Linked DNA regions of Lonchura striata. The protein of the gene in region 1 binds, or shares a complex with, the protein of each later gene. Links are inferred from orthologs where the notes say so. Each region holds a gene or a part of one and is shown in the gene's direction. Other genes may lie near its edges. The genes, in order: NDUFAF1, TMEM186, ACAD9 and COA1.

The links.
Region 2: NDUFAF1 (region 1) and TMEM186 share a complex: the UniProt entries of both Homo sapiens proteins name them as parts of the mitochondrial complex. The link is inferred for Lonchura striata from reciprocal best matches to the Homo sapiens genes NDUFAF1 and TMEM186.
Region 3: NDUFAF1 (region 1) and ACAD9 share a complex: the UniProt entries of both Homo sapiens proteins name them as parts of the mitochondrial complex. The link is inferred for Lonchura striata from reciprocal best matches to the Homo sapiens genes NDUFAF1 and ACAD9.
Region 4: NDUFAF1 (region 1) and COA1 share a complex: the UniProt entries of both Homo sapiens proteins name them as parts of the mitochondrial complex. The link is inferred for Lonchura striata from reciprocal best matches to the Homo sapiens genes NDUFAF1 and COA1.

What each region holds. Positions count from the first base shown.
Region 1 is NC_134608.1:37,470,785-37,477,843, forward strand, and holds the start of NDUFAF1 (complex I intermediate-associated protein 30, mitochondrial), read left to right. Parts: upstream 1-4,052; 5' UTR 4,053-4,251; intron 4,252-5,526; 5' UTR 5,527-5,638; coding exon 5,639-6,142; intron 6,143-7,059. UniProt on the Homo sapiens protein: As part of the MCIA complex, involved in the assembly of the mitochondrial complex I.
Region 2 is NC_134618.1:6,718,258-6,725,419, reverse strand, and holds TMEM186 (transmembrane protein 186), read left to right. Parts: upstream 1-4,142; 5' UTR 4,143-4,164; coding exon 4,165-4,173; intron 4,174-4,294; coding exon of another isoform or gene 4,295-4,442; exon of another isoform or gene 4,443-4,623; intron 4,624-4,775; coding exon 4,776-5,510; 3' UTR 5,511-7,081; downstream 7,082-7,162. Other genes in the region: PMM2 (phosphomannomutase 2), read right to left, coding at 614-689, 1,108-1,207, 1,875-1,966, 2,543-2,619, 3,551-3,604, 4,295-4,442. UniProt on the Homo sapiens protein: As part of the MCIA complex, required for efficient assembly of the mitochondrial complex I.
Region 3 is NC_134614.1:2,420,001-2,427,335, forward strand, and holds the start of ACAD9 (complex I assembly factor ACAD9, mitochondrial), read left to right. Parts: upstream 1-4,315; 5' UTR 4,316-4,420; intron 4,421-5,871; 5' UTR 5,872-5,965; intron 5,966-7,295; 5' UTR 7,296-7,335. UniProt on the Homo sapiens protein: As part of the MCIA complex, primarily participates in the assembly of the mitochondrial complex I and therefore plays a role in oxidative phosphorylation.
Region 4 is NC_134603.1:105,060,034-105,067,758, reverse strand, and holds the start of COA1 (cytochrome c oxidase assembly factor 1 homolog), read left to right. Parts: upstream 1-4,705; 5' UTR 4,706-4,785; intron 4,786-7,725. Other genes in the region: inositol 1,4,5-trisphosphate receptor-interacting protein-like 1, read left to right, coding at 1-955. UniProt on the Homo sapiens protein: Component of the MITRAC (mitochondrial translation regulation assembly intermediate of cytochrome c oxidase complex) complex, that regulates cytochrome c oxidase assembly.

The sequences.
Region 1 (7,059 bases):
GAGTTCCAAGCACATTTATTTTAAAAATGCCTCAGAAAGAAAATTAAACTGCACACTTATTCTTCACACTTATTGGAAGAACTCTGCTACACTAACAAAAGCTTTATAGTTTATCATTGCCCTACCCTGTGAGTCTGCAAGTTGCCACAATGGATAATGCATACTTACTTTAGAAGAAAAAAATACAAAAACCTACACAAAACATCTCCCTGTCAAATTTTTAAGAATAGATTGAATAAATGACCTGACTATGATTTGCAGAAAGTGTGAGAAAATATTTGGAAGCTTTCCAGAAATTGCTTTTACTCAAATACCTGTATAACATTTATCAGTGCCTGTTTTAATAGGATTTTTTTAGATTTTTCTTTTCTAGATGCACAGGCTTTTAACCAGCTCTAGACTGTAGTACCAGAAACAAATACTAAAACCAGAACCAGCAGATAAGCACTGTTTTATAAGAAATTGAGAAACTTTATAACAAAGTAATGCTGAACTCTTCCTTGCCTCTTTCTTCAAAGATGTTGATCAAAACACACCCTGTTGCATATTCAAATGGCCAGACAGCTAATTCACAGCACAGTTCTTGAAGAATCAAAGTAGCTAAACAGAACAGTTTTGCTACCTGTAAAATAGTACTACCTGCCTTAACTCTTAGGAAGGAACCTTCACTCAAAAGGTGAAAACCTCACTCCCGGAATTCAGAGTCCAGCTTTAGCAGCTTCACTGCTACTTCAACAGCAGTCACAACACAGGAAAAACACTAGTTTAAAGCAGGCAGCTCACCACACCATATGAACCTGAGATTAAACTGGCAGTCACCTTTTCTATAGACAGACTATTTTGTATACAATTAGAATTCAAAACATTTATTTTTAAAAAAAATTCTCTGGCCTTAATGAGTCTCCATCATTTATAGCCAGTCCCACCTTATGAAGTCAGCAGCCTAAATATACTGTATGATAAATACACTTTCACTGCTTAGGTATGATCAAACAACCCATAGCAATCTCACTGAAAACATGATAAAGTCACCTCATCATCACTGTCTGATGTCTCAGAGTCTGAAGATGCTGTAGGTTTGCTCACAGGTGGTTCCTTTTCTTCAGAGTCACTGCGTTTCCGTTTGGCCAATGACAGGAGCTCCTGGTGCAAAAACACACAGATTTATTTCAAAGTGTCGCAATTAGTTTTAACAATCCAGGTCAGTGCACATGCAGGTTCTCCACAATATCTGAGCACATCTCAGTAGCAAGATTATTGCCACCAACTAAGGAACAAGTCTACTTATATTTCATAAATATACATGTGCACACACAATTTTAATACTGGATGCTACAAAAGGATTTAAAAGATAACAAGCTATAAAAAAATAACTATTAGTACCATTACTTTCTTGGCATAAACAACATAAGACAAATTGCTTTCAGAGTCATGTCCAGATTTGTCTTACTTGGATTGGGTAATAATTCAAAATCACCCTAACTACACCATCAAGCACCAGCCCTAAAAAGCCAAATACCAGCAGATAGCAGCTTCTTCTCCTAAACAACAGAGATGGCTGCAATTATACACTTTAAAGGGGAAATGCTTTAGGCATCACTTTTACATCATGGTTGGTAATATTTAGTCAGCCTGTTCAATTCCTCTTCACTGCTGGTACACACCTCAGAAAGCACTTAAAACTTTCAGACACAGAGCAGGGATCAAGCTCCAAGTCTGTGAAACTTTTTGAGAGTTGTTCTGCTCAAAAGCACTTTCACAGGCAACACGCACCCACACAAAGAACTACATGGCTCAAATACTCTCATCATCTGCTGTTCATCACTTGTTCAGGTGACACAAGCAGTAGTATAAAACAAACATTTTTGAAGCTGTGTTACTGTCTTTGCAGTCCAGGACACAGAATCTATTCTTAGAAACATTACTCTGGGGCTGATGAGTATTAGCTGTGTGTAGAAATACAGCCACACCAAGTTCTGCAGTCTTGGGAAGTTGATGCTGGATTGGTTTCCATTAGTTTCACAACTGAAAGATCATCTCAACAAACTGATTAAAATTTACTATCTCAAATGAGAACATAAACACTGCAGAAACTGACTACCTAGTAGGTCCAGATCTAGTATGTCAAAATCCTAGACCTAGTAGGTGTGCCTACTTACCAACAAAGACACTTTTCATTAGTTCATTAGTAATGGCATTTTACCAACAAGCCTCTAAAGAAGCCCTGCAACATCAATATAGCATATTTGTACAATCAAGAGATCTCTGGAAGCTCCTGAAGCTTCAGCAGTGCTTCTCTTTGGGAAGCTCTTGAAGAGGAGCACCACTTTAAAGCCATATTCCATTTTCTTTCTTTCTTTCTATACTTACTTTCTGTTTTCCAAGATACTATATTTAGGAGGCTGCTAGTCCTTCGATTCAACAAGCCTAGACTGCCATGGGAAGCTGTCAAACATATAATCTACTTAACATTTAACATTTAAGTCAGCATTTTCTCATCTCAAAAACTTCCCTCTACCTGATCTTCATCTTTGCACACACACCTCCCTGCTGTCACAGTTTCTACCAACAGCCCAGTGGAGCAGGAAGCACCAACTACTCAGGTACCGCTGCAGATGCCTGCTGCCAGTGAGGGATGGAACAGATGCAGAACCACGTGGTTACTCCTGCCACCATCACTCCAATTGTCTGACTGATGCTAGAGCTAGTCCAACTCCTATTTTCAAGTCCTAAAACTATCAAACTGATGCACTAGCAATGAGATGTTGGCAGCACTAAGGACTCTAAAGGTATGCAAGATCAACCACATCAGCTCCTGTGTATTTGTTTTAATGGAGTATCAGATCTGATATTTCTGAAGCCCCAATCTGCAAAAGTATTTTTGTGCGTTTGGGAAGGCTTTTTTTTGCAATATAGCAACAGCTTCTATATCAAAAACTCTGAGGGTCCAACACATAAATTACATCAGACATGTCGGCTTCAGCATATTCGACCCACCAAACTTCTCCCCGGAGCAAACACTGCCATACAAGCTGTAACACACTTCACCTATAATGTCTTTATTTACCACTGGAATAATACTATCAATATCTGCTACATTAAAAAGTGAATTTTGAAAGCAGCCCGCTCCAAAGAAGGAGACACCCCCTTTGCAACCCTGACACGCTTGAATTCACACCAGACATCGCACTTACAATCCCGGGAGATGCTGTGATGACAAATAAATACTACCCCTGCTTACATCTACAGGCTGGTTTCCCATCAACAGAACTCCCCAGCGCAGTCACCAAGATTGAGAGGGTCGCATTAAACACGCATTTAACACTCCGGGAGCCTGCCTGCCCCGAGGAGAGGCAGGGACCTGACACGCTGTTCTCCCGGCGTACCAAAGTAGCATGGAAAAGTTGCCCAGCCCTTTGGGCCTCTTTCCCCACTACTGGAGGTGAGAAGACCGCCGGCAGCCGGGCCTCGCTAACCCCTCCTCAGGGCCAGACCGCCCGGAGCATCGCCCCGGGGCATCCACGGCCCCGCCGTCCCGCCGGCGCCGAGCACCGGGCCCGCTGCAAGGAGCCCCCGCGGCGCGGGCCTCCTGCCAGGGGCGGGCCGGGACCCGCCGGAGGGGCGCGGGCTCTCCTCCGGGCGCCGCGGGCCCCATCGGGCTGCGGAGGGCGAGAGCGACGCGGGACCACCGGGCGGGAGCGACGGAGGGATGGCGGCGCCGAGCCCCGCGCGGGCGGGCGAGCCCAGGCCCCGCGTTCGGGCCTGCCCGCGCACCTGGTCCAGGTTCTCCTCGCTGCCGCTGTCCTCGGTGTCGGAGTCGATAAGGACGCGGCCTTTCCGCTTCTTCACCATGGCGGAGCCGGCGGTGCCCCCTCCCCGCCCCGGCGGCGGCGGCGGCGGCGGCGCTCGCACGGCCCGGCCCGGCCCGGCCTGACCCGCGCCGCCCGCCCGCCCGCCCGACACAAAGGGCACCGCGCATGCGCGGCGCGCGGGGCGGGGCGAGGCGAGGGCGGAGCCGCGCGCTGTCCCCGCGGCCGCTGCTGCGGCGCCCGCGGATCCGCGCGGGGCACGGCGCGGCCGCGCCGGCACAACCGGAGCGGCGCAACCGGAGCGGCACAACCGGAGCGGCACAACCGGAGCGGCACACCCGGAGCGGCACAACCGGAGCGGCGCAACCGGAGCGGCACAACCGGAGCGGCGCGCAGCTCGTTCCTTGGCCGGCCCGGGCGCGGCGGACCCGGCGGCGGGAAGGTGAGGCGGTGCGGGTGCCGGGGTCTGTCGGTCGCGGAGCAGGAGCGGCGGGGCGGCCGCTGTGCAGGGAGGGGGCTCGGCCGCCGCCCCGGCCTGGCCTCGCCTCCGCCCGCCGGGCCCGTGCGCAGGCCGCGGCGCGAGCGGGGCCGCGCGGGAGCCGAGCGAGCCGCCGGCGCTGCCGGGCCGCCACCGGCGTACACTGCCAAGGCCTTCCGAGGGACAAAGGCCGGGCTAGCGCAGAACGTGTTCGGGTTCTCCGTTCTCTTGTTGTGCTCGGCGAAGCAGTGAGGAGACAGGGCTTCTTAAGTGCGAGCTTGCTTCCGATCGCGTGAAGTGCACGACGGAGAATAAAGTGAATGCTAAGCTACTAAAGTGGGAATTCTAAAAGCTACTTCAGTGTCGCTTTAGGCAAAACTCAATTATTAGAGTGTGAGGTAACAGTAGTAAATTTTACAGTGAGTAAAGGAAGGTGAGTGACACACAGAGGATACAAGTGGGGTGCCTGACTCCATTCTTAAAAGCTCACATAAGTTGAATGCATGTGACATCATTTTTGGTTTTGTTCTGTGGCATGAAAAAAAAACAACAAAAAAACCCCCATCTAATTTTACAAGTAGGAGAAAATAGCCTCTGTACAGAGCATTGAGCAAAGTTTTCCTGAAGTCTTATTAAAAAAGAAAACATATTGAATTGTAGTCTTTCATGTTAAACTTTTTGGTCTTTGCAAATCTCTCTATAATCCTAACACAGGTATATTGAGGATGACTTGGAAGAAGAATGTGGTATGGCTGCTGCAGGACTTACTATTTGAAAAGTCATCTGTTTAAGATGAGGTTGTTGTGTTTGTCTGTGTGGCAGCAGCGTCTGCCTTTTGTGAATTTGTGATTTTCATGCAGGAATAAAACTTTTTAGTTATATAGATGTCATCTTTTAGAAACCTTCACGGGTTGTTTTTGGTGTTATCTGTAACACCTAAACCTACTGGTGGAAAGGATGAGGATAAATTGATTTTCTTTTCTATTTTTAGTTTTATTTAAATTAGTTTACTTGGGTTTTCTTACTTGCATGGGGCTTTCACACCGTGAGGACAGGGGAGAGCGTAGGGTGGAAGTCAGTAAGTAAACTCAAGCTCTGAGGAAGTGTCATTCCTGATGGTTTTTTTCATTCTGTTTTCCAATGACTTGGGTTTCTAGCTAGTATTGATTATAAAAGTTAAATAATTTCACAAGCATCCTGTATGTAATTTTTTATAGCCTTTTCTCTTCTTCATTAAAGGTGAAGATCAACAGTAACTACAATAAGATAGCTCTGAATACTAGTTTTGTTGTTAAATTAACTTTCAATCCATTAATTGCCTTACTGGATGTGAATTCTTTAAGTTACCAGTATGGCTCTGGCTGTGATGCTGCTGAATGGTGCTTCCTTCCACGGTGGATGCTGCAGACCCAAAGTTTTGCTCTCTTCACTTGGACCTCTCCTCAGCAATTCAAAATTGTACAGCAGCTACAGGAGGCCAGGGGCAGAGCCTGAGAAAAAACTGTCTTGGCAGAATGCTGATTTCAGCTTTAAGAAGGCCATTGATCACCTAAAGACTCAGCTAAGCTTGCTGAAGAAGGAAACCCAAGACTACTTAAAAGGACCTGGAGGCCATGCTTTAAGTCAGCACTTGTTGGAACAAACAAGGGTGTTGTGGCAGTTTAGGAGCCAAGAAGATTTAAATAAATGGGTTATTTCCTCTGATGTGGAGATTGGAGGGAAAAGTAAAGTTTACATCAAATTGGGCAGGAATAACCAGGCTGCTCTGCTGTATGGAACCCTCAATACAGAAGTGCCTCGTGATGGGGAGACACAATACAGTGGATATTGCAGTATGAGATCCAGACCGGCAGTGGTGAGTACAGCTCTGTTTGCACAGCTTTTGATGCTGAATCTGAGGGTGTCTGTGGAATCCCAGTGACAGCAAGTGGCCTGCTCTTTACTGCTGATCACTTTCAGGAGTACTGCATTTTCTCTCAGACATGTAATTGCTACTGTGCCCGCTTTGACCTGGAAGGAACTTAAATTTTTTCTTGGATTTTGTTTTCCTTTCTTAGATTAGGAATAATGCATATTTGATCATTTACTTATGTACAATAGACAGTCTTGTTTGCAGCATCCTTACAAATGAGGGATCTGGAATGAATCTTTATATCCAAAATTGGTATGATTAAAATAGACATGTTTCTAAATTTGAAGTTGGTTGAATGTATCATAAGGAAGAATTTTCTGGGCTTTAATTTGGTCTATTCATCAGACTTGGTTAGGGTGAATTAACTCATTTTCTCACAGGAGCAGAAAACAATGCTTTGAAATGTACTTTTTAAAGGTCTGCCTCCTGCTGTACATCAGAAAAAGCAAGACACAAATCTTTGATAGCTCAGAATTGAGCAAATTAGGGCCAGAAATGGGTGTGCTTATTATGGATACTGCTTGTTTCATCCCTTATTTCTAAGCACCTTTAAAAGCATTTTCACACACTGGATAAAATCCTTAAATATTTCATGTGTTGTTTGTATCTTGGAACAAGTACTTAGGTAGAATAATTTCTGGGCCAGAATCTTCGGGAGCAGAGAATATGAGTAAGCAAAATCAATGGGTAAATGAGAGACATGAACACTGATTAAAATGGTGACACTAGATCAGATGTCTGGAACAACAAGTGGAGTCAAGTTAAATTCTCAGGACTGCTATTGACTTGTGCAAATGTGACTCAAACTTTCACTTCCTAATTCTGAAGTAGTGGAATATATTAGTCCATCTTTATTTAAG
Region 2 (7,162 bases), on another chromosome or scaffold:
TGTCCAAAAGGTATTTACAACATAAAGGAGAGCTGCACTGCAGTTCACTTTTGCCTTAGTGCTTCAGCACTAATGCCAACCATTATTTGCAATTCTGAAAAATAATCAAAGGCAGGAGTGTGGTAATATATTAGAAGAGACGGTGAAAAAGCAAAATGCATAAAAAATTAATTCCCCCTTATTGTATTTTTTTTTTCCTTAAGCTTGCACTTGCTTTTGGATTCTTTCTTTTCTCCCACACAATGCAGGTATAGCTGAAGAACCAAGGGCAACTGGAACAGCACTGAGGGAGTGGTTCTGATCAAAACTGATTCACAGAAACCACTCTGACTAATCCAATGCATCTAATATCCTCCAAAATGAGCAGAATCAGTCACACAACTGACATTAAAGGACAATGAACTGATGACAAGACATGAAGTGCTCTTTGTTGATGGATTTCAATTAAAATGTCCCAATAAAAACCTGAGAGGAAAAAGAGGCTCAGTCTTGCAACCACCCCCAGAGAGACCTGTCAGACAAATGAGATGGGATGTCACAGCCATAAGAGAATATGACTTAAATGAAATTTAAATTGATTGATATTTTAAATGACATTCTTTTAAAGTATTACCTATTGAAAATGTGAGGCCTTTGCCTGCAAATTCTCTTTGTAGATCAGCTACAAATTTCTCTCTTATATGCTCCTTCTGTTAAGGAAAAAAGAAAACAAAACCAAACAACAGTTACATGCTGTAACTGTGTTGATTTACCAATGAAAAGATAACCCAAAACCACCTCTAAAAAAGAATGGTTTTATTGATTTGAATGGACCCAGGCTGGTTACACTATAGAGGAGAAAGTATGGTTTTACCTAGGACAGGGTTTTCTAGAAACCCCATGAAGCAGGATGTTCAGTGCCTGGATATTGGATTAAAAACATGAGCCAAACCCACCCTTCTGCAAGTAATCCCTGCTATTCCAACAAAAAACCTCACACTGTCTATTTCCTGAGGTCTGAATGAGGAAATTAGTTACACCATATGGAAAGGATTTAAATTACAAAAAAAACTTGCACAAATTATAAAAGTTTTTAAAACTGCCTTCTCCAGGAGAGCTGTAACTCACTTTATCAAGTTCATAGAACTCAAGTCGTTCTTCCTGGCTGCAGCTTCTTCCAATGGGGGACACATTCAACATCCCATTTCGGAACTCGATGAAAGTGCCTCTGCAAGGGAATTGATAACAAGACAGAAAATAGATGAGAAAATTTGCTCCAAACACTACATAGCACAATAAATTTCCATTTAATTCTAAAGGCAGTGAGAATCACCTGTCTCACTACTGGTACCTCTGGCACCAGTTAGTCTTTTGAACTTTGAATATGGCAACCTCCTCATCATCCTTACTGGCTTTTAGAAGTCCCATTTGGTTTAACAAGTGTGACTGGAGCATCCCATCAAGCTCAGAGCCTGACAGGCCAGGCTGTCAGTGTGGGTGAAGCTGCAGAATTCACAGCAATGTGGGCAGTGTTCCACCCAGCACATTTCAGTGTCTGCAGCAGCTGCACCTCACACATCACACAGAGCTGGTCTGGCTGCACTTCTCATCTCTGGAAAACACTATGCTGCTGAATTCCAAACATGGCAAGGGAACACTCCTACTTCAAACTGAATCTCCTTCCCTCTAACACAAAAGTGCCAAATTAGTATTTCAAGCCCTGTACTCCAGCTGGGAGCTTGTCTTTGTATGCTTGGACAGAGCTCTGTTTCACACACACAGTGCTGTTTCCCAAGCAGAAATTCCTCTTTTTTTTCTTTTGCTGAGCACCCTGAGCTGAGCTTTATATGCCCTATGGAGAACAGGGTCACGCTGAGATGTCTGTGTGCACATACCTCTTTTTTGGCAGCTTAATCTTTGCAATGTAACTCAGGCAGTAGTTGATGACTTCTTGAAGGATGTCCTCGCCCAGGTGGCCCTGAATGCTCTAACAAAACAAACACCATTCAAACAAGGGTCCAGAATTTGAGATTCTAAAAGCAAGTCACAAGGAAAACACAGACATTGGGTAATCAGGCATGGTTAATACCACAGAAGAACAAACATGCCTTCAAACAGTGACATCAGCTGATGCTCACATGGTACTAACTAAAGGCTCTCATTTTGCTTTTTGTTCACTTTATAACACCAAACTGTCCTTTAATATGATCCTACTTGAACCTGCTTCAGAAGAAAACTGTGCCACGGGCAGCAGCCCTGAACAAAAAGCTGCATTTAATGTCTGTTACAGCCAAGAATGAAGAAAAGGAGCTTGTTCCTGCAGTAAACTGGAACCACTGGTCAAGGCAGCAAATTTAGCCAGGATCTCTTTTAAATGTTTACTCTCCATTACTTATGTTAAACATTACATGCCAAATGAATGATCCATTAACAGGACTAACATATGAAAGCAACAGCAATTTTAGTCTTTGAAAGGGTGATTACAGAGGACTACACTGTACAAATAAATCAAAATCTTGTTTAGAAAATTTCTTTTTCTCACTATTGGAAATTTCACACTTACCTGCTTGCTCAGGAATTTCCCATCTTTGTATGCTACAAGGCCATTTTCTGAGAACACATAGTCATATTTTTCAATCACTGCAAACAAGCAAAAAGACAGTAACTCATCATTTCCCCTCAATGCTTAATGCAGAATTGTCTTAAATGCTAAATTGGTTAAAATACAGCAAACATTAACTCCTAAAGCATGAAAAGTTTCAGCAGCATAGCATCAAGCACAAGATTAATGCTAGTCCCATTCCTCACTATGATCAGCACACACCTCAGATCACGTGAAGTCATTTGTTTGACTTACCTTTGGTTTTACTTAGAGGCATATGACTCTTTACATTAAGTGTAAAGGAATGCCCAAACACGTGGCACATGGCCTGGCTAGAGAGCAAGTCAGATACTGCCCTTTAGGTTTGTTTCCTCAGTGTCACTAATCTTCAGCAAATGTCTGGGAGTTGCGAGTCTCAGCACTACACAAGATGATGATGATATGGTTGACTGGAGACCACTTGGGAGGCAAACGAACTCGGCTGTCTGGGCACTACAGGAGTTATCAGTGGCATCAATTGAGTAAAGAGCATTAAGAATAAAGGACTAAGCTAAGGCAAGAGTGCATCGCTGCATCAGAACCCCGCACTGAACAAAAGCAGGTCCTGAGGGAAGTGCTGACAGCGGACAGCCACGCGTGTATGTCACACACAGGACTCCACTGTACACACAGTGTGAAAATGCCCTCCCAAGGCTGCCAGCGAGGCAGGATTTCACCATCAGCAACAATCCCTTAATTTGATCTACAGACAGCGGTGCAAGCAGGCTGCGATTCCCAAGGGCCGGTTCGCAGCTCCCCACAGCCTGGGTGCACCACAGCAGCACCAGGAGCCAGCTAAGAGCGAGGGAAGAGGGGATGAGGAGCTTCAACCTCCAGCTGCCCTTCACCGCGGCCCGGAGCGCGGCCCTCACCGTCCTCGCCCAGCTGCTCGCGGATCTTGGCCAGGTCCGAGCCGCCCACCACTCCCACCTTCGCCTTCTGCCGCAGCCGCTGCAGGAACGCCGCCATCTCCGCCGAGATTTTCTGCGGTCCAAAACAGAGCGGTCAGCCGTGCCGGAGCCCAGCGCCTCCATCCCGCCACGCCGGCCCACACGCGCTGTGTCCGCGGCGTTCCGAGAGCCAAGCGCGGACACGCCGGGCCCCGCGGAGTGCCGCGGAGTGCCGCGGAGTGCCGCGGAGTGCCGCGGAGTGCCGCGGAGTGCCGCCCGCCCCCCGGGCTCGCAGCGCGGGCCGCACTCGCCTGCCGCGGCGGTGTCAGGGTGCCGTCCACGTCGAACAGGCAGAGCGCGGCGGGCGGCGGCGCCATGGCTGCGCGGGGCCGCGCCTCCCGGCGGGGCCGCGCCTCCCGGCGGGGCCGCGCCTCCCGGCGGGGCCGCGCCTCCCGGCGGGGCCGCGCCTCCCGGCGGGGCCGCGCCTCCCGGCGGGGCCGCGCCTCCCGGCGGGGCCGCGCCTCCCGGCGGGGCCGCGCCTCCCGCCGGGGCCGCGCCTCCCGCCGGGGCCGCGCCTCCCGCCGGGGCCGCGCCTCCCGCCGGGGCCGCGCCTCCCGGCGGGGCCGCGCCTCCCGGCGGGCCGCGCGCGGGGCCATGGCGGCGGTGAGGGCCCGGGCTGCCGGGCGGGCTGGTCCTCCTTCTTCTCCTTCCTTCTCCTCCTTCCCCCTTCTCCTCCTTCCCCCTTCTCCTCCTTCCCCCCTTCCCCCCTTCCCCGTCTCCTTGCCTTTCGCCTTCTCCGTCCCGCTCGGTGACGGCTCCTCGCCCGCGTGCTGCGGCGCGGCGGGGGCAGCGCGGAGCTTCCCCTCCTGCCTTTGCTCTGCAGTCCTGCGCCTTCCCAGCGTCTGCTCCCGCTCTCCCGCACCGTGCTTCATTTTTCTTTCCTGTTCTCCTAAATCTGCGGTTTAAGGGGTTATTTAGGGAGTGGGCGGTTTCAGCAGCTTTCCCTGGGCTGTTGCTCAGACGGCGAGAGGCAGGGGCTGTGCCAGGCTCGCTCGCTGATAGCAGCTGTGTTAGCGAGGATTTCCCTCGGTCTGCAGGGAGGGATGCGGGCACAAAACCAGTTTCCTGTCAGAGCTCTGGTTTAAGGTCACAGTGACCCGGGGGTTTGCTTTACTGGCTTTAGGCGCCCGAGTGACCAGCTCTGAGCTCTCAATTGGGCTTTAAAGAGCACTCAAACGATGACCTGTGGGCATCTTACCTTACAGGCTTGGCTCTGCACTAGGACTAAAGCCTGCACGGCAGCAGCTTTTGGGAGATCTCTACAGAAGGAGCTCTGGACAAGGTCGTGGAGAAGGGAAGCTGCTCGCCGGCCCTGGATTTTTGGTTCGTTGGAGTGTTTGCAGTCACAAACCCAACGAGTTGATGGTGTCAGTAATTATCTCAGGAGACCGCGAGAGCCGCCTGTGTGTCTGTCCCACTCAGCCCCTGCTGCAGTGCTCCAGCAGAAGGCTGTGGATGGGCGGACAGAAGAGTTCAAACTGGTCTACAGGTTCCCAGGGATAAAATACTGCAGGGTCCTGTCAAGACTGAAGCTGCTGCAGACTGCCACCTCCATGGTCATGCTGCCTCCCATCTGCTACCTCTACCTGCAGGGCCAGGTGTCTCAGAATATCCTCCTCTATACAACTGGCATCGCTGTCTTTGCTGGGGCAATGTTGTATGGTATGAGCTACTTTTTCAGAAGAATTATTGGATTCATCTACTTAAGTGAAAGTGGACAAACTGTCAGAGTGGCCCACTTGACATTTTGGGGAAGACGTAATGATATTTACTGTCCCATAGAGACAGTAGTGACTTTGGATGAAGTTGGAGATAGCAAGGACGAGCTACTTCACCAGTTCAAACGGTATAACAGTACAGATACTTTGTATTTTACAATTAAGTATGGCCAGATTGTAGACAGACAGAAATTTACTCAAATATTTGGAGAATTTGTGTGACACAGCACCTCATTTCCACTGACTGTCCATGTTCATTGTGCTTATTGTTTCATGAGGTTTAAGTAGTTTACCAACCTACACATCCCTGTCCTTTTCCTGTGCAAAGCCTGCTGTAAGTACACCCAGTGTAGAAAGTCACAGTGGTAAGGCACAGTCCACTGGATTAAAGGTCTTGCAGCTTGTATATGGTGTGAGGAGTGTCTGTTCCATGTAGGATTCAGTAATGTCACAGCATTCCAAGCCTGGACTGTCCAAATTACTGGAGCTGACCCTGGCTGTTTCATTCTATTGGCCTCTTTGGTGGTTATGAAGCATGAAAAATCTCTTGAAACGAAATGCAGGAGCTGCCAGAGCATCCTCACTTCAAACTCAGTGTTTCTTTTAGCTAATTTCAGGTTGGCTGGGAAGCCTTTGTAAATTAAAGCTGGTCTGGTACATCCATAGGATGGGTACAGCTGAATGTCAGAGAGGGACATGCTCAGGTGTTAATGCCATTGAGAGAACTGGGAAGGTGTGTGGGCTGTCCTGGCCTCAGGAGGGTCCTCCAGGATGGGAGTGGAACTGGGCAAAACAAGGGTGTGGGCTACAAGAGACAGTGGCAGCTCAGCTGGTAAGTTAAAGGCAGGGACAATATTTCAGGAGCCTCTTACAGAAATTGCCATTCTTCATTGGAATGGGAAAAGCAGCACCTGTCTCCATGAAGGACTGTGATTCCATGGTACTGGTATGACTTCTCCTTTTCCAAAACCTCAGTAGAAATGAGGAATTTAAACCCAAGAAAGAACCAAACATATCACCTATAACATGTAACACATTTTTTTGAATTGTCAGAAGCAAGATAACTCCTTACACCCCTCTTCTAGCTTAATTTGAAACTGGCAAATAAACTGACTCTCACCAATAGTCTGGAGTGTTCTTTCCTTATTTTTTCCTCATATGGAGTGAAACCTCTGTTTCTTGGCAGATCAGCAAAGGATCAGTTAAGTAAAATTGCCATTTAAGTGCACAGGGTAACCCTGAATTACTATTTCTAACTTTAACTTTTCCTAGTGGGGTTCTGTGAGTTTAAATTTTGGCTGACACTGTCTAGCACAGCAGTATCAGAAGAAATCCAAATGTTCCTCGGTGTAAACACCATGGCAGCAAAATACAGTGGGCTGTACAGGTATACTGCAGTTTTTGGAGGTTTATCTTCATCAGAATGTATTTAATATATGCACTAATGGTTCAGTTTAGTAGTGGGTGTAAAAGAAAAAGCCCTGGAGAAGATCAATTATAAATATTTTATTTAAGAATATTGATTACACATGATTGATGTCATTTGTTATGAATCTGTGTACAGTTACTAGTTACACCATGAAGTGTACTTAAGTATTTGTTTAAACATTTATTTGGCACTGTCTACAGTATGCTGTAAACAATATTAACTTTATATGCTTCAGCTGTAGTGCTTTCTATGTATTCTCTAACGATTCATCAATATGTTGTACACAATTATACAGTTACTGAGTGTCAGTAAAAATTATAAAAACACCTAGAGTAGTCATAATAAAAGTGAAGATGTGGTAAGACTTCAAATTACTGGACCTTTGCTTCTGTAAAAGTACAAGACTTGCTAGAGACATTCACTAAAACTACTGCACTGATATGTT
Region 3 (7,335 bases), on another chromosome or scaffold:
AGTCTTGTAAATTTTCAAAACCATTTGTTCGTGTATTTTGTGCCTAAAGGGGGAGGATCTTTGTTTCTACTCTTCTTCTTTCTGTGCTGTTGCAATATTACATGACCACTCACAAATTTGCAGACTGCCAGCATAGCTTCATGAAAAAAAAAAAAAAACAAAACCAAAAAAACCTCTCTATATATTAGTAGTGAACCACAGGGGACATGTCCTGAGCAATTCCTCTGACTGCAGGAATTTGAAATCACTTTGGAAAAAAGCTGATGAAAAAGCACTGGTGTTTTGGGTCATCTGTTTCTCTTCCCAGATCTAATAATTAAATAATTATTTAAATTAATAATATAAGTATTTAATACTATAAATAATATAAATAATATAATTAATTAATATTGTACTCATGATTATTAATGAAATGTTCTTGAGCTCATGGGAGCTCCTTCCTTCTCTCCAACATTACAGTGTGATAGAGCTTATTTTGGCAAAGAGGTTCTTGACCCATCTCCCTTCTGTATTCATTAATAGTGCCAAGATGTGCTTTATCCAGTTACTGCAAGGTCTTTTTATAGCCACAGCCTTGTCCCCTCACTCATCGCTGTCACCTGTGTGTGACACAAAGGCAGCACTCTCCAGGTTGCTCTGCAGCTCCTTGGATGCAATCCCACAGGAACAGCTTCTTTCCTGCACTGAGCTCAGGTTATCTCCCCTCACTGAGCCAGAAACTTGATTTCAATAAATGGTTTGGCCCATTTTCCCTTGCTTGAAAAATTAACTCTTGGCTTTTAAAAAAAATTATAATGTGAAATAAAATGTAAAATACTTCAAAACATGAGGCAATTTAGTGCTTCCTTTTAATCTACCATGGCAGAGCTGATGGACAGTTTCCCTGTAAGTGCCACATGACGTTGTGAGGAATCCCTCTCACTAACAGAATGTATATTTATTTTTCAGGTGGTTTCTTAGATGGCCACAGTCCAGTCAGTGTGGATGGACAACAGACTGGAGAAATTTATTGATGTATTTATGCAGCGACTGCGTTAACACCTGGGTTTCAAACACATCACATCACTTCCACAGCATGTAACCAGGAGCAAAAGTGGAAATACCAGTTCCTGCCCTCACCTTTCCTGGGATTTCATTTGTTAACCAGCTTTATAAAAAAGTACTCCAAGTCAGGAGGTGATGCAATGAGCACATCATCACACGCCTGTGGGAAAGACGATTATCAGTGTCAAGTGCAAAACTTTCATACCATCTGTCAGGTTGAACAGGAGCAAACAGTGATTGCATAAAGAGAGGAGGAATTTTGTGTATTTTTCTGGAAGTGCTGCAAAGCCTGGTGAATGTTTTTGTAAAATAATTTAGTGACATTTTTTCAGTAAAAAAAGAGCTAAATGTTGCCAGGTCAATTTATTATTGAATAACAGTTTTTTAAGCAGCTGCTGGAAAAATATGGAAGAATAAAAAGGTAAACTGAAGCGTAATTTTATTGTAGTCATTTACTGATCTTTACCTCTCTTGCATTAATTCCTTCTCAGGAAGGAATTCTTCCACTTCTTTGTGAAATGGGCTGAAATGGACATCACTGTGGGAGTTGTGGTTGTTCACAAAATGTGAGTTATGAGGAGCTGTAACAGCTGAGGGATTAGCTGGCCCAGGAAGGGAATCTGAAATGATGTGAACACCTGGATGAATATCTCAGTGGCAGAGACAGCAGAGAGGAGCCATAAATAAAAGTAGGGAAAGCAAAAGGCTAGACGTATTGCTGAAGCAGAAGACAAAAATACTGATTTTTATCTTTTTCAGTAGATGGTGCCGCTCTGTGCAAGGCAGTTTGAAGATGTATCAGGTCAGGATGGGGGAGTTCTGCAGAGAGCTGCAGCTGCCAGGAGTGTGATTTCAGTTGTGGTTACACACAGCACTGGAAGGGACAAAATCTGTGGTGTGGCACCACTGGTGCTAGCGCAGGAACAGAGGATTCTCTGTGCCAGTGATGGTCCACCTGCAGTTTTGTGCTGTGGGTGTGATATCACCCCCTGTGACTGGAAAATGCCAGGTGTTTATTTATTTAGGATACGCTCACAATGCCATCCTCATGCTTGCTGAGTGAACACACAGGGTGTGGCCACTGCCTCAGTTCTTGTCAGCTTCCTGATGAGGCATCTTTTCCCTCTGCTTCCCAGCTGCCCGGCCTTGTTTTCACTGTTTGGATCATTTTCTTCAAGCAGTTTTTACCATGCTCTGTTTATCCTTTCTTTCAAGCTACCACATCACCCCTACATCACCAGGATTTGCCTGACTTGTCTCAGGAGAGGGTGGCCTCAGTTTAGCCCTTTCATCACTGATGCTGTCTGGGAGGTGCTGTGGGACTTGCACCTCTCTTGACCCCCCCAGGAAGATAAAAAAACTCTTTTTAAAATAATTTTTTATCTCTCCTGCCCAGAGCTGGGATGTAGCACTGGTGCCACCCAGGTCCCCTCAGAGGGACATCGTGTGGCTCTGCCCCATTAACCCCACGTGTCACAAGGCTGAAGCTTTTCCCCTTCTATTCATACCATCAACCACCTGTGGATACCCTCTGGAAGCACTGGCACCTCATCCTTCACCCCAAAGATTGCGAAGTGCTGCACCTGGCTCAGCGTTCCCCGCCCATTGTTTCCTGGTAGGATTAGACATCACCTCTTGCTTTTCCACCCTTCAGAATGAAAAGAAGCAGGATAATGTCCCTTAACCACAGCTGAGCACATCCTTATTTTTCCTGATGCCTCACTCTCAGCCCTTCTTATTCCCTACTTGCAGTACAGTCAAGAGGCAACCAACATCGCAATTTATTTGGGTTACAAGATTAAACGATTTTCGTTTTGTGAGTCATAAGTAAAGAAGCAAAATAAGTAAGTTCATTAAGCCTGTGTTGTTGCCTTCAGATGAAAAGGCAAGGTGACCTCGTTTCAGGGGACAGCACGGCAGCCTGGCCTCACCCGGGCCACTCGGGCCACAGACATGCACAGACACCAACGTGGTGGATGGTCAAATGGCGCTATTACCTTATCCTGTGAGGTTAAATAGTCAAGGGGGACTTTGCTACATCAAGGGAAGAAGGTAGGGTCTCTAGGATTAGTAAGGAGTGGAAAACTACTGCGTTAGGTGGGGTTACGTGTCTTGGGGGTAATGGATTACATATCACAGGATGAGGGGGAAGGGTCTCTCTTTCCGTCACATCCCGAAATCTTCCATTCGCCTGTCCCTATCTACCACACTGTGTTTACTTGTTCTTTTTGCAAATGCCATTTTGTCACATTCTGCAGTTCCACACAGACCAAAACAGACTGAAGGCAGGTGGACATGGAGATGCCTAAAATGAAAATGCAGCAGCAACCTTTAAATGGCTTATTTCTTGTGAAATAAATAGTTCAAATAAATTTTCTACCTTTGAGTAAATTAAGCTTAGCACGCAGAAAGCCCTTGTGTGCCGGTGAGCAGTCCCAGCCACCTGCAGGTGAGGCAGCAGCTGTGGGGTGGCACAAACCTGACAAACGTGATCTCTCGAACAGAAGGGGAGCAGTGAGTGCTTCTCAACCAGATTTCAGTGAGCATCAGTCATTTAACACGGGTTTGGCACCTGGGTTTTTTAAAAAGACAAAACCTGCTGCCAGAGGGATGGCAGGGAACGCAAGGAGGAAAGGGGATGCTCGGTGCAGGGCAGCAGGTAAGTCTTTGACATTAATGTGTGGAAAGGGCTGCAGGAATGCGGGGCCGCTCAGGGGCCGGCTGGAGCTGCCCACACCATCCTGCTCCAGCTCCTGACACACGGAGCAGGAGGACTTGGGCTGGGATTTAGGAGATTTTGGGGCGATGTCCAAGCGCTCCGTTCGCAGCTCAGCGCGTCCCGCAGCTCCAGGCGGGGACGCAGCGACCCCTGCCTGTGGAGCTGCTCCCGCCTGGCCACGCCGCTGCTCTCGCTTCAGGAAGGCGATCCAAAGGCACCCTGGCTGCACCAAGAGCTGCTTCCCGCTGGGGCCGCGCGGCTCGGCAGGGCTGCCGGGCCGGGCCGGGCCGGGCCGGGCCGGGCCGGGCGGAGGAGCCGCGAGCGGCGCCGCTGCCGCGCCCGCGGTGCCGGCGAGGGAGGCGCCGCCCGGGGGCGCTGCGGGGCCGTGGCGCCGAGCCCGCCGCGGGCCGGGCGGTGCGAGCCCCGGCGGGCGTGCCCGTCCCCGCCCCCGCGAGCCGAGCACCGCCCGCTGAGGGCCGGGCGCGGGGCGGTGCCTCCGGGGCGGCGAGCGCGGCCATGAGCGCGGCGCTGCGGCTGCTGCGGGCCCTGCGCGCCGCCCGGCCCCGGGCCCGGGCCGGCCCCGCCGCCCGCGGGCTGCGCACGGCCGCGCCGCGCCGCGCCTTCGCCAAGGAGCTGTTCCTGGGCACCCTGCGCAAGGTGGGGCCGGCGGGCAGCGGGGAGGGCGCGGTGGGGCCGGGCTGGCCGGGGGCGTCGCAGCAGCACCGCCAGGGCCTCTCCCCGCTGCTCATCCCGGCCCGGGGACGGTGTGGGCCCGCGGCAGGCCCGGCCTGGGCCGGCTGTCCCGCAGCCCCGGGGGCCAGCCCGGCCCGCTGCCTCCAGAGCTCCCTGCCCTGGCACGGGGGGGACAGGAGGCGTCTCTGTGCGTGCCCTGCCCCTCAGCTGGAGCCGGGCGAGCCGCAGGGACCCTTTGCACACCAACAGGCGGTGTGCTCCGAGTGCCGCCCGCCCGCCCCGCAGGTGCCCCGGACACCCGCGGGTCGCTGGGCACCGCCCCGGGCGGGCCGCGAAACCTGGAGCGCTTCCTTCTCTGGGTGTGCTTCAAGCATCCAGGCCTCACGTAAATCTCTGCCTACGGTTTTGACAGGAAAGATTGAAATGCGTGTGGTGTCTTGAGATGACAAAGAAGTTAAAATCTGAGACAGAATGCTGTATTAAGCAGTTTGTTATTGTAAGGCTTAGAGTGTGCGTTTACCAGAGATTGCAGGGTGAAGTAAACTGAAAGAAGGAATAACTAAAATGCACTGAAATGAGTTGAACAATAAATTCTCCTGCAACAGAGCTTGTCAGGTAAAGTGTTACAACAGGCAGCACATAGGCTCCACTGTGTTAAAACACTCTTCAGATAAGTCTGGGCGTTTTTTTCTCAAATTTCAACACAGCAGCTTTCTGAAAATCTCTGGCATTTCCCAGTTCCTGAATTTTTGATGCTGATATTATTGCTCAGAGTACCTTGGACAGATTTGTGTGGTCAGAGATAAATTATTCTGTTTAAAAGGACAAAGGCAGTAAAAACCAGAAGTGTGCTTCTCACATAGCCTTCCACTCCTTGTGTTCCTTGCTTGGATTTTTTACCAATTCAAACCTGCCAGGCCATGCTGCTCCCAGTTCATGGCCAGAACACCCTGGGGATGATAAGGAGTGGTGGGGCTCACTCACCTTTGTCCTCGAGGCATTAACAGGTGAAATGTGCTGGGTGTTTGCAGGGGACAGTGTTCATGGGCTGAGCTTTGGAAACATTAGCACAGCTCATTGTTTTTGAGACAAATTAAACTGATTTTTTATCAATCCATAAATAGGGTTACACTGACAAAGCTCAGGGGTGATGAGGGATTTTTGCATCCTTGTAGTTCTTACAAGATCTCTTGATTTCTCCCTCATGTTTCTGTTGTTCAGGTAACACACTCTGGTCTGGTTTTGATGTGTAATAAAGTTGGGTCCTGGGGAGCTCTGTTTCTGTTTCAGAACATTTTCCACAATTCTTAATTTTCACAGTGTTTTAGAGTCTTTGCAAGGCATGTCTCTTGTAGTTTTTATTTCAACTGCATAGTTCATGTATTAAAAATTATTAAATAATTACCCTATTTTAGGAAGAAGTTTTTCCTTACCCAGAAATTACCAATGAAGAACTGGCAGAAATCAACCAGTTTGTGGGACCTGTTGAAAAGTTCTTCAATGAAGAAGGTATATTGTTATGGTTTTATCCATGCAAGTGATTTAATAATTAGAAAATTATTTGGCTGTAGCAGTTGAATACGATTATTATACCTAAAACATCTAATTTAGTTTATGCATTTATTGCTGTCCACTTAGTGATGCTGATTTTGTAGGATGTCCATTTATGGCTTTTTTGGGAAGTATTTGGGTGCTGATCAGAAGAATTAAATCTCCAAAACAGGAAAAAAAACCAAGAATGTAAAAGAATTCTGGGATAAAGATAGGATTTGAAATCAGTTTTAGCTCAGCTGAATTATGCCTCTAACCATTTCATATATTGTGATTTCTTTTTCCTAATTCTAGTTCCTAGAACTTCTTAACTGTCCTACTCTGCTAAAACTGACTGTGACAAAATGCAGCAGAGAGACTCAGAAATTGAGGAGTTACAAAAAATGAAAAGCATTTCTGTTTTTTCAGCATTAGAGTAATAATTCTATTTGGGAAAGGCCTTACTACCCATCTGCATTCCAGAGAGCGTTGCAGGGTGTTCCTTCCATTAGTGCTGCCATGGATGAACCAATTCCAGAGCAATTGCAGAATCCTGGTTTTCACAGACAGCAATTTCTGGGGCAGTTAAACAGCATTGTCTCAGACTTCCCATTGACAGAGGTTTTCCAAACAGTGTAGGAGTTTGGAGAAGCCAGTGACTGTCACACATGACAATTTGTGAGATCCAGGTGATTTTAACTGGAAAATTGTAATGTTGCTCACTGACATTAAATAAAACATTTATTAAAATTACATTTTTTAATTCTTTGCTCTGTGGGGGAACATGATTTATGGAGTAAACAGCCTGATGTTTAGGAGAGGAATAAAAGGGTCAAATTATGGAGTCTGGAGAAAATATGATTCCTGTTTGTTTTCACTGCCATGGTACAGAACAGCTCTCTTAATCCCCCAAGAATCTAAAAACTCCTAAGAACAAAACTTTCTCATTACCTCATTTATGTCCTTTTTTTCCCCTTGTATTCATGACCTAGACTTGGTTCAGATAGAAAATCTTGGAAATGCTTTGCTTATTCCCGTCTTAGAATCTGCTAACCTGCGGAAATAGTAGAAATGTTTGAGAAAATGAAATAAATGCTGGATTTTTCCCACTTCCAAGTCTTTCTCCTGATTATGTCATGAGGACAAACAGGAGGGTCATGCTGAAGCTAGAAAGAAGAACTTCTTGTGAAGCTGGGGATGAGAAGTCTCATGAGTGACCTTAGCCCTGCTGGGGGAATCATGCAGTCTCCCAGCTGCTCTGGGCACTGAGAAACACCGTGTTAAATGAGAAAAAATTCTGCATTTGTAGTGGACTCAAAGAAAATCGATCAAGATGCAAAAATCCCACC
Region 4 (7,725 bases), on another chromosome or scaffold:
CGGGCGTGCCTTGAATGGGACTTTCTACCCGGTGCTGCAACAAGCCATTGGTTTTGGCAGTGCCTTTGAAGGTTGGGCCGCCCGTGAGGAGGAAGTTGTGTACCGGGTGTTTGTGCCCCTGACTCCTCCCCAAGGCCACATCTTCCACCTGGAGCGTGACACCGACCAGCAGAAGCCTGGCAGGAATTTCCGTGTCCTTGTGGAGCTGGAGTGCAGCTGCCCCAGGGATTACCAGGGCACGAACATGCTGTGCTTCCAGCACCACCCTGACGTGATTAGGAGGAGGACTCGTCAGCCCAACCTCCTAGACACGCTGTGCACCGGCTCCTACCTCGACGTGGAGAAAACTGTCCAGTGGTTCTGCGCGCTGGTGGAAGAAAACTGGCGGCTTTTGCCCCAGTCACGCAGTTGGCGTTTAGAGCTGCTGCCCTCCAAACGCTCTTGCAAGCTCAGGCTGAGCAACAGCCAAGAAAGCTTCCAGGTTAAGGTGCTGTTTGGGGTGCAGCAACACGCCTCAGACATCTTTATCAGCAGCCAGCATCGAGGGGCCCACACCCCAAGCACAACGTGGCCCGAGACCTACAGCGTGGCAGAGACAAAGTTCTTGAGGCGCATGGCCAGGCCGGCTCCCCAGGACGACTCACACCTTAAATGCCTGCAGCTCCTTGCCCGTGTTCTTGCGCGCAAGGCCCTTTCCATCCCTTCCATCAAGACCAATGTCACGCGCCTGCTGAGCACCGTACCGGCGTCGCAGAGGCACAGGAGACATTTCCTGCTGCAGCTGTCGGATGCTCTGGAGCAGCTGCACTTATCTCTGGAAGGCAAACCCCTGGAGCCTTTTACAGTGGGCAGCCAGAGGCTTCCGGAGGAGTTCCGCTTGCCCCCAGATACACAAAGGGCTAGGCCATCCAACCTGTTCCACGGCCTGCCACAGGATCTGGCTGCCCACCCCTAGGCCTTGATCTGTGCCGTCGCCTGGCAAGAGTGCCGGCCTCTGGCCGCTGCTAGCGGGGCACGTAGAATCACAGCATTAGAGAATCACAGAATCACTAGGTTGGAAGGGACATTTAAGACCATCGAGTCCAACCCATGGCCTAACACTACCTTAGCTATTACCATGACCCTGCGTGCCATATCCAACCTTTTTTTAAACACATCCAGGCATGGTGACTCCACCAGTTCCCCCAGGCAAACGATTCCAGTACTTTACCACTCTTCCAGTAAGAATATTTTTCCTAACGTCCAACCTAAATTTCCCTTGGCACAGCTAAAGACTGTGTCCTCTTGTTCTGTCACTTGCTGCCTGGAGAGAGACACCAACCCCCACCTGACTACAACCACCTTTCCCGTAGTTGGAGGGAGTGACAAGGTTGTCTCTGAGTCTCCATTTCTCCAGGCTAAACAACTCCAGCTCTGTTCCTCACAGCGCTTGTGCTCCCAAGCCTTCACCAGCCTTGCTGGCCTCCTTTGGATGCGTGTGCTCGCGGGGCTTGCAGCTGGTGGCAGAGAACCAGCTTGTAGCTCCATGACAAAGACAGGAATGAATGGGATGCATAGACAGATAGATATCTGTCTATATACCTATAGTGTGTATATATTGATACAAATATTTTTACTAACAGATGTGTTTTAATAGATACATATTATAGCGATAATTCAGAAATGATCATGTTATCTTAAAAAAAGAAATAGCAAGTATAGGATGTCACTATTATGCCACAGTTATTTGTGGCTGTTGTGACACATATTAATCCTCTGTGGTTACTGCATTTATCAGAGGCGAGATTTTGATGATGCAGATATATTTATAAAATATGTATTATACATACTCATATTGTATTTACTACAAAACAGTAATTTAATACAATATCTTTAAAATTATCATATTATTTTATAAAAAGAAATAGCAAGTATATGATGTCACTATTATGTCAGAGTCATTTGTGGCTCTTGTGACACATATTCATACTCTGTAGTTACTGAATTTTTCGGAGGCAAGATTTTGATAGTACAGTTATATGTATACAATATGTATTATACACACACATATTGTATTTACTACAAAACAGTAATTTTATACAATATGTTTAGAATTAAATGTTTATCAAATATGTGGAATGTTATAGAATGAAAAAATCATCATGACGAATATGACAGTGGAATAATATAAATTGAGTATTTAATAGATCTGTTTGGATGCGTAGTAATGCTCCATAGTTAGCGCATGCATGACGAGCAAGCAAGGATCTGCTGTGCTCTTGTTTCAATAAAAGGCAGTTTTGCAGAATCTGGAGCATGCGAGACTTTCTTGCTCTCAGCCACACCTATAGTATTGGTAAAAGTCACCCGATGGGAATCTGGGCTTGTGAACAGTCTCTGCGAACTCAACCAAACTAACAGTGCTGAATTGGTTCTAATCAGCAATTAAGGCCACGTGCCCCTGACCCCCCTCTGATCCCAGAATCACAGCATGGCTCCGCTTGGAAGGGCCCCTAGACATTGTCTTGTTGCAAGCCTGCTGCCAAGGGCAGGGACACCTTGCAGCACCAGGCCACATTGCAGCAAGCCCCATGCAACCTGACCTGGAACACTGCCAGGGACTGGGCAGCCTCAGCTTCCATGGGCAGCGTGGCCCAGGTTGTCACCAGCCTCAGAGGCACACTTTCTTGCACATCTCCAGCCTAACCCTGCCCTCTGTCAGTGGGAAGCCGCTGCCCCTGGTGCTGTCCCTCCAGGCCCTTGTAAGCAGCCCTAGCGCAGGCCTCTGCTGGGTTTTGTGCAGGCTCTGAGAGGCTGCAGGAAGGTGCCCCAGGAGAAGCCCTTGGAGAGCGCTGGGGGCCGGGAGTGCCACCATCAGGGCAGCAAGCAGGGCCTGGCATGGCCGTCGGGGCGGGAGGGCACAGGCTGGGCGCTGAGGCCCTGCCAGCTGGAGCTGGGAGCTCAGCTGTGCGGCCCAGCAGAGAGCCACGGGCTCTCGCGGCTCTGCATCCCTCACGGCTGAGGCAGCGGCCCAGGCGCAGCTGGCCGGGGACAGGCAGCCAGCCCCGGGCCACCCTGAGGGGCAAACTGCTCTGGGGCCAGAGTCTTTGGTGGCTGTGAGAAGCGTGGCCAGCCTGCCTTGGGCCCCTAGGGTGCTGACAAGTGTGCAGAGGAAAGTGCCAGCCCAGCAAGAAGCAACAACCAATAGCCCTCCCTGCATGGCCATAGTAATACTGGTGTCTTATGCTGGCCGTCTCTTATGTCTCTCTTATGTCTCTCCTTCCATGTGGAAATAGCAGAGGGGATCTCTATGAATAATAAGCACCTTTCAGAACCGATAAAGCTTCACCAGTGTTGGACGGGTATTGCACAGCTTTGGTTCTTGCAAAATTACCGGGAAAAAGGGACAGCAGGGGTAGGTAGGCCAACACAGGCACAGCTGAGAACGGAGGACAAGTTTCTGGCCTAAAATCTTTCTTCAGGTCTGACATGTATGAAATAGATTTTTTTTCAGAGAGTAATTAGATATGTAGGAAAAGGTAGGATGAGAGAAAGAATTAAAAAACGCTGTAACTTTGCATAGAAAACAATCTCTTAACAGGGCTTCTTAGGAGTGTAAGAGGCTGGGCCTTTCACTCCTTTTTTTGTTCTCTCTATCTCATTGTCTCTCTTTTGGTCATATCTGCATGTCCTTTTGTTCTGCTGATTGTCTTTCCATACTGTTTCTGCCTACTCTCGCCTTTCACAATTTCTTTAGTATTACAAGTCCTAGCAAGGAGTTATATTAATCAATTCTGCTACAATATAGAACCTTCCCATTTTTCAATTTTTTGAATTAATTAATTGAATCAATTAAACATCTGAATTAATCAATTCATCTCTTGTATAGAAACCTCTCACTTTTTAATTTTTTTGTTAGGAACAACAAAGCAATGCAATAATGTAACCAAATCCTGATTGTAGAAGTTGACTGGAAACTGCTAGAAGCGTGCCGTGGGAAGAAACAGTTTTAATTTACAATCTGAAATAGCAGACTGTATTCCACTAAATCACCGCAGTAATGCAACAGGTGTAAATAAGTAGCTGGAAACTGCTTAGGTTACAGAACAAACTGGCTTTGCAATATCCCCGAACATAATGCCTTACTCACCTCAGGCAGGGAACGCATACAATAAATATCAAAGCAGGTAGGATGCACTAAGGAACAGCAGCAGAACACACTCTGATGTCATTGATGCACTCATCATTTAATTTCAGATGAATCAAAGCCGTGGGCCAAGGCTTAGGTTCATGTAATCCAGCACTGCTAACACACACACACTTGACAAACACCAGAGCCGAAGTGCTGAGCTTTGGGACATTGTTGGACAGCTTGTTTAAATAAACTGCAACAGGGACAACAGCTTACACAGAACAATGTGATAAAGACAGCAGTGGTTAAATTAAATGCTAATATCACTGTGTGAAATGAGATGGCCAGATTACATTCAGAACTTTCTTTAGGGGTTGCTGGACAGACACTGTTGGGTTTTTTCAATTTTGACTGCACAAGAGTGGTTTTATGGTGTTCCTTGTCCTGAAAAAAGAATAAATAAAGGAATAATAAATCACCACAGAAGAGAGTAGATCTGGGCAGCAAGCTCAGGTGTGGTCGGGATCTTTCCGAGTCAGGCGCTGCCCTGCCACCGTCCCCTCCTCTCCGCCATTCGCAGCGCCTCCCGCCATCGCCCCCTGCCGCTCCCCGCCGGCGCCGCAGCCATGGCGGCCCCCACGGCGCCCGCCTGAGCCCGACGCGACCGCGCTGCCGTGAGTGAGGGCGGGCGGCCGAGGCCGGGGCTCGGCCAGGGCGTCCCGGCCGCCGCTCCCGTCCGCACCGCCGCACCCGAGCGAGCCTCGCCGCCCCTCCCGGCGGGCTCGGGCCGGCGCAGAAGGGCCCCGGGGGGCGGAAAGAGGCGCGGGAGGGGGTTGGTACCGGGGGAGTCCCGGCCACGGCAGCTCCGCGGCGGCTGCGGGAGCGGCGGGGCCGGACCGGGGCGCGGAGCGGCGCGGCCGCGGTGGGGGCGGCAGTGCCGTGAGGCGGGCGGGGCTCGCTCACTGCCCCGAGAGCCTCGGCACGCTTCCCCTCGGCCCTGTTAGTGGTGCGTGTACTTAAGATACTTCTCAGCCGCCGTCGGGAGAGGAGTGCGAGGCAAATTTGTCTAGGAAGCTACAAAGAAAACCTGATACGCAGAGAGCAATCAGAGCTGCGGCAGGAAAGATCTCTTGTTGCTTAAACAGGCACAGGCACGCGGTGCCCTGTATTGTGGGGAACTCGCTGACTGGAGCACATCCCGGAGAAATGTGGCGAGGGTAGGGCGATTTCCACATAAAGCAAGTTGTTTGCAGTGACTCATCCACGTAGTGAGGAATCAGATTTACTTTGTTATTCAGGTACAGCTGGTGAAGCAGTTGGGTTGTCTTGAACAGGTCTAATGTTCAAACACTGCAAAGGAAAGAGATTATTATGTTTCTCTATAAAGATTGGAACTTCCCTGTTCAAGTCTGCTCTGATCACTGAAGCAAATATCATTTCCCCTGTCCCTTCTTATCGGGGACGCTGGTTGCTCCCGTTTTCCAGCCTAGTTGGTTTCTTTCTGCTCATTCACATGAACTCTAAGTGCAAGAAGAGAGCATGTAACTCGAAGAGTGGTCTGGGTTGCTTTTAGAGACATTTTTTTATGAATTGAAGTGTTGAAACAAATTTCAAAAATTCCTAGTAGAGATTCAAAGGCTGGAGTAATAGAGGGCTGCGGCAGCAAGGTGGCCCTGTTCCACCGCACAGCTGTACATCGTGCTGTACCTCTTGCATCCGGCTTAGGGATCAGCTGGCTTTTTGAAAGTTGGTTGTTCCAGTGTTATCAATGCTTTCTAGACATGGCTAGCACTGCAGCTGCACAGCCCAGCAGCAGGACGGGATAAGTGGCATGAACACCTCCATTCCAGCAGCAACTCCTCAGACCTGTACTTAAATCCAGTGTTAAACTGCAGCTACTCTTTGTTTTTAGTCTAAGCTTTGACTCAAATTTGAACAGTAAACCGGTGTTTCATATCATGCAGTGGCCCGTGTCAAGGGTTCTCAAACTTGACTGGGGGTGTGGTAGAGAAAGATGACTGCATGTTGAAAGATAACAAAATGCTGCCTTTCTTCCTTGAGATCCTTGTGCTATTCAAGACTTGGCAAAAATTGCTGCCCTTGCTGTCTCAATTATTTAACTGCTGAAATAGCCCAGATCAGCCAAATTCCATTAAACACAAAGTGCAAAGGAAAGTTATCTTAAACAAGCAATGTACCAATTGTAAAGTTGTTGCATTTATTCCCCAAGGAAGAAAGTATTCTTATCAAGAGGGGGATGAAGAGGTTAGCCGAACTTAATGTGTCATTTTTTTATTAGATGAGCTTTAACTTAGACTACTGTAAATTGAATGAAAAAACATGGAGAAGGGAGATAAGGAGCTTTTGGGATTAAAAATAAAAATAAACCCCAAAGCCTTCATTAGTATCTTACAGCTTTTTCTAAGTAGTGCTTCGCTGTTGCATTTCTGAAATTAATGAAGTGTGCATGGATTATTGCTGAATGTATTTTACTTCAAAGCTGGTTATTCCCCAGAAGTCAGAGGCTTTGAGTGTCTGTTAACACAGTATTTTCCAGGCCACTTTTCTAATACAAACTTCTGGGTTTTGACTCAATGCCAGAGGAGCAAAATAACATCCTTACCTTTGCTGCTGTGACCACAATATAAGATCAAGCAGGAAGAAGAGCTGATGCTGGGGGTTGTTTTCACTACACTTAAGACACCTTGAGAGTTGGAGCTCACACAAAGAGATGGGCCCATTCACACCCTCCCTAAGCAGTGTGGCTGTTAGGGCACTTGGCCTTTCTTCTGTATCTTTAGACAGCACTCCTGACTGCATCTTGTCTGTTAAGCAGCCCAGCTCCCCCTGCGTGAGCATTGCTGTTGCACAGCAGCTTTTGCTCCATGTGCCTGTGCTGCCTTACCCAGGCTGCAGCACAGCCCTCAGAGCAGCTCTGAGGATGGTTTGGTAGCAGCCTAGCTTGTGGTTCTGGGAATTAGGAGGAGGCTCTAGGCTTTGGACAACTTTTATGTGTAGATCTCCCTGCTTGTCCAACTAAAACACAAGTCAACAAGTGAAGTGTGTGAACACCTACCTTGAAAATCTTGCATATACAAGCAAGTGGGAGGGTAGAGGGGGAAAGAAAGGCACTGGCTGGATTTTTCTATTTCTCTGTGCTGATGTTAGTGACTAAGTCTACAGTTTTGAGCTGTGATTTTGCGTAACTGAGGAGGATACAGAAAAGGACTATGTTATGTCTCAGATTCTGGGAGGAGCAGTTACATGACCATCAGGCTAGTGTGGGAGCTAACCCTTTGAAAATGCAGTTTTACTTTTTTCTGCTCAGCATATTGTAAGGAATAGAAAGTTCTTGAGAGTATACTTCTGAAAAGCAACCTGATACACAAGAATATTGGAACATGTTAGTAAAATTTCAAGTTATCAGTTCAGCATAGTTCAGGCTGTGAGCCTGTTGCGAGCAATTTGAAAAAGCATCACCAGGTATTTTATTGTTTGTCTTTTAGCATGTTATGAGGGTCCTTCCTGGTATTAGAATGTCATAAGTGACAGAATCCTTTCATCTGCTGTGGTGCAGTGGTGGTTTTTTTAACAACTGCACAGCAGTAATAGCA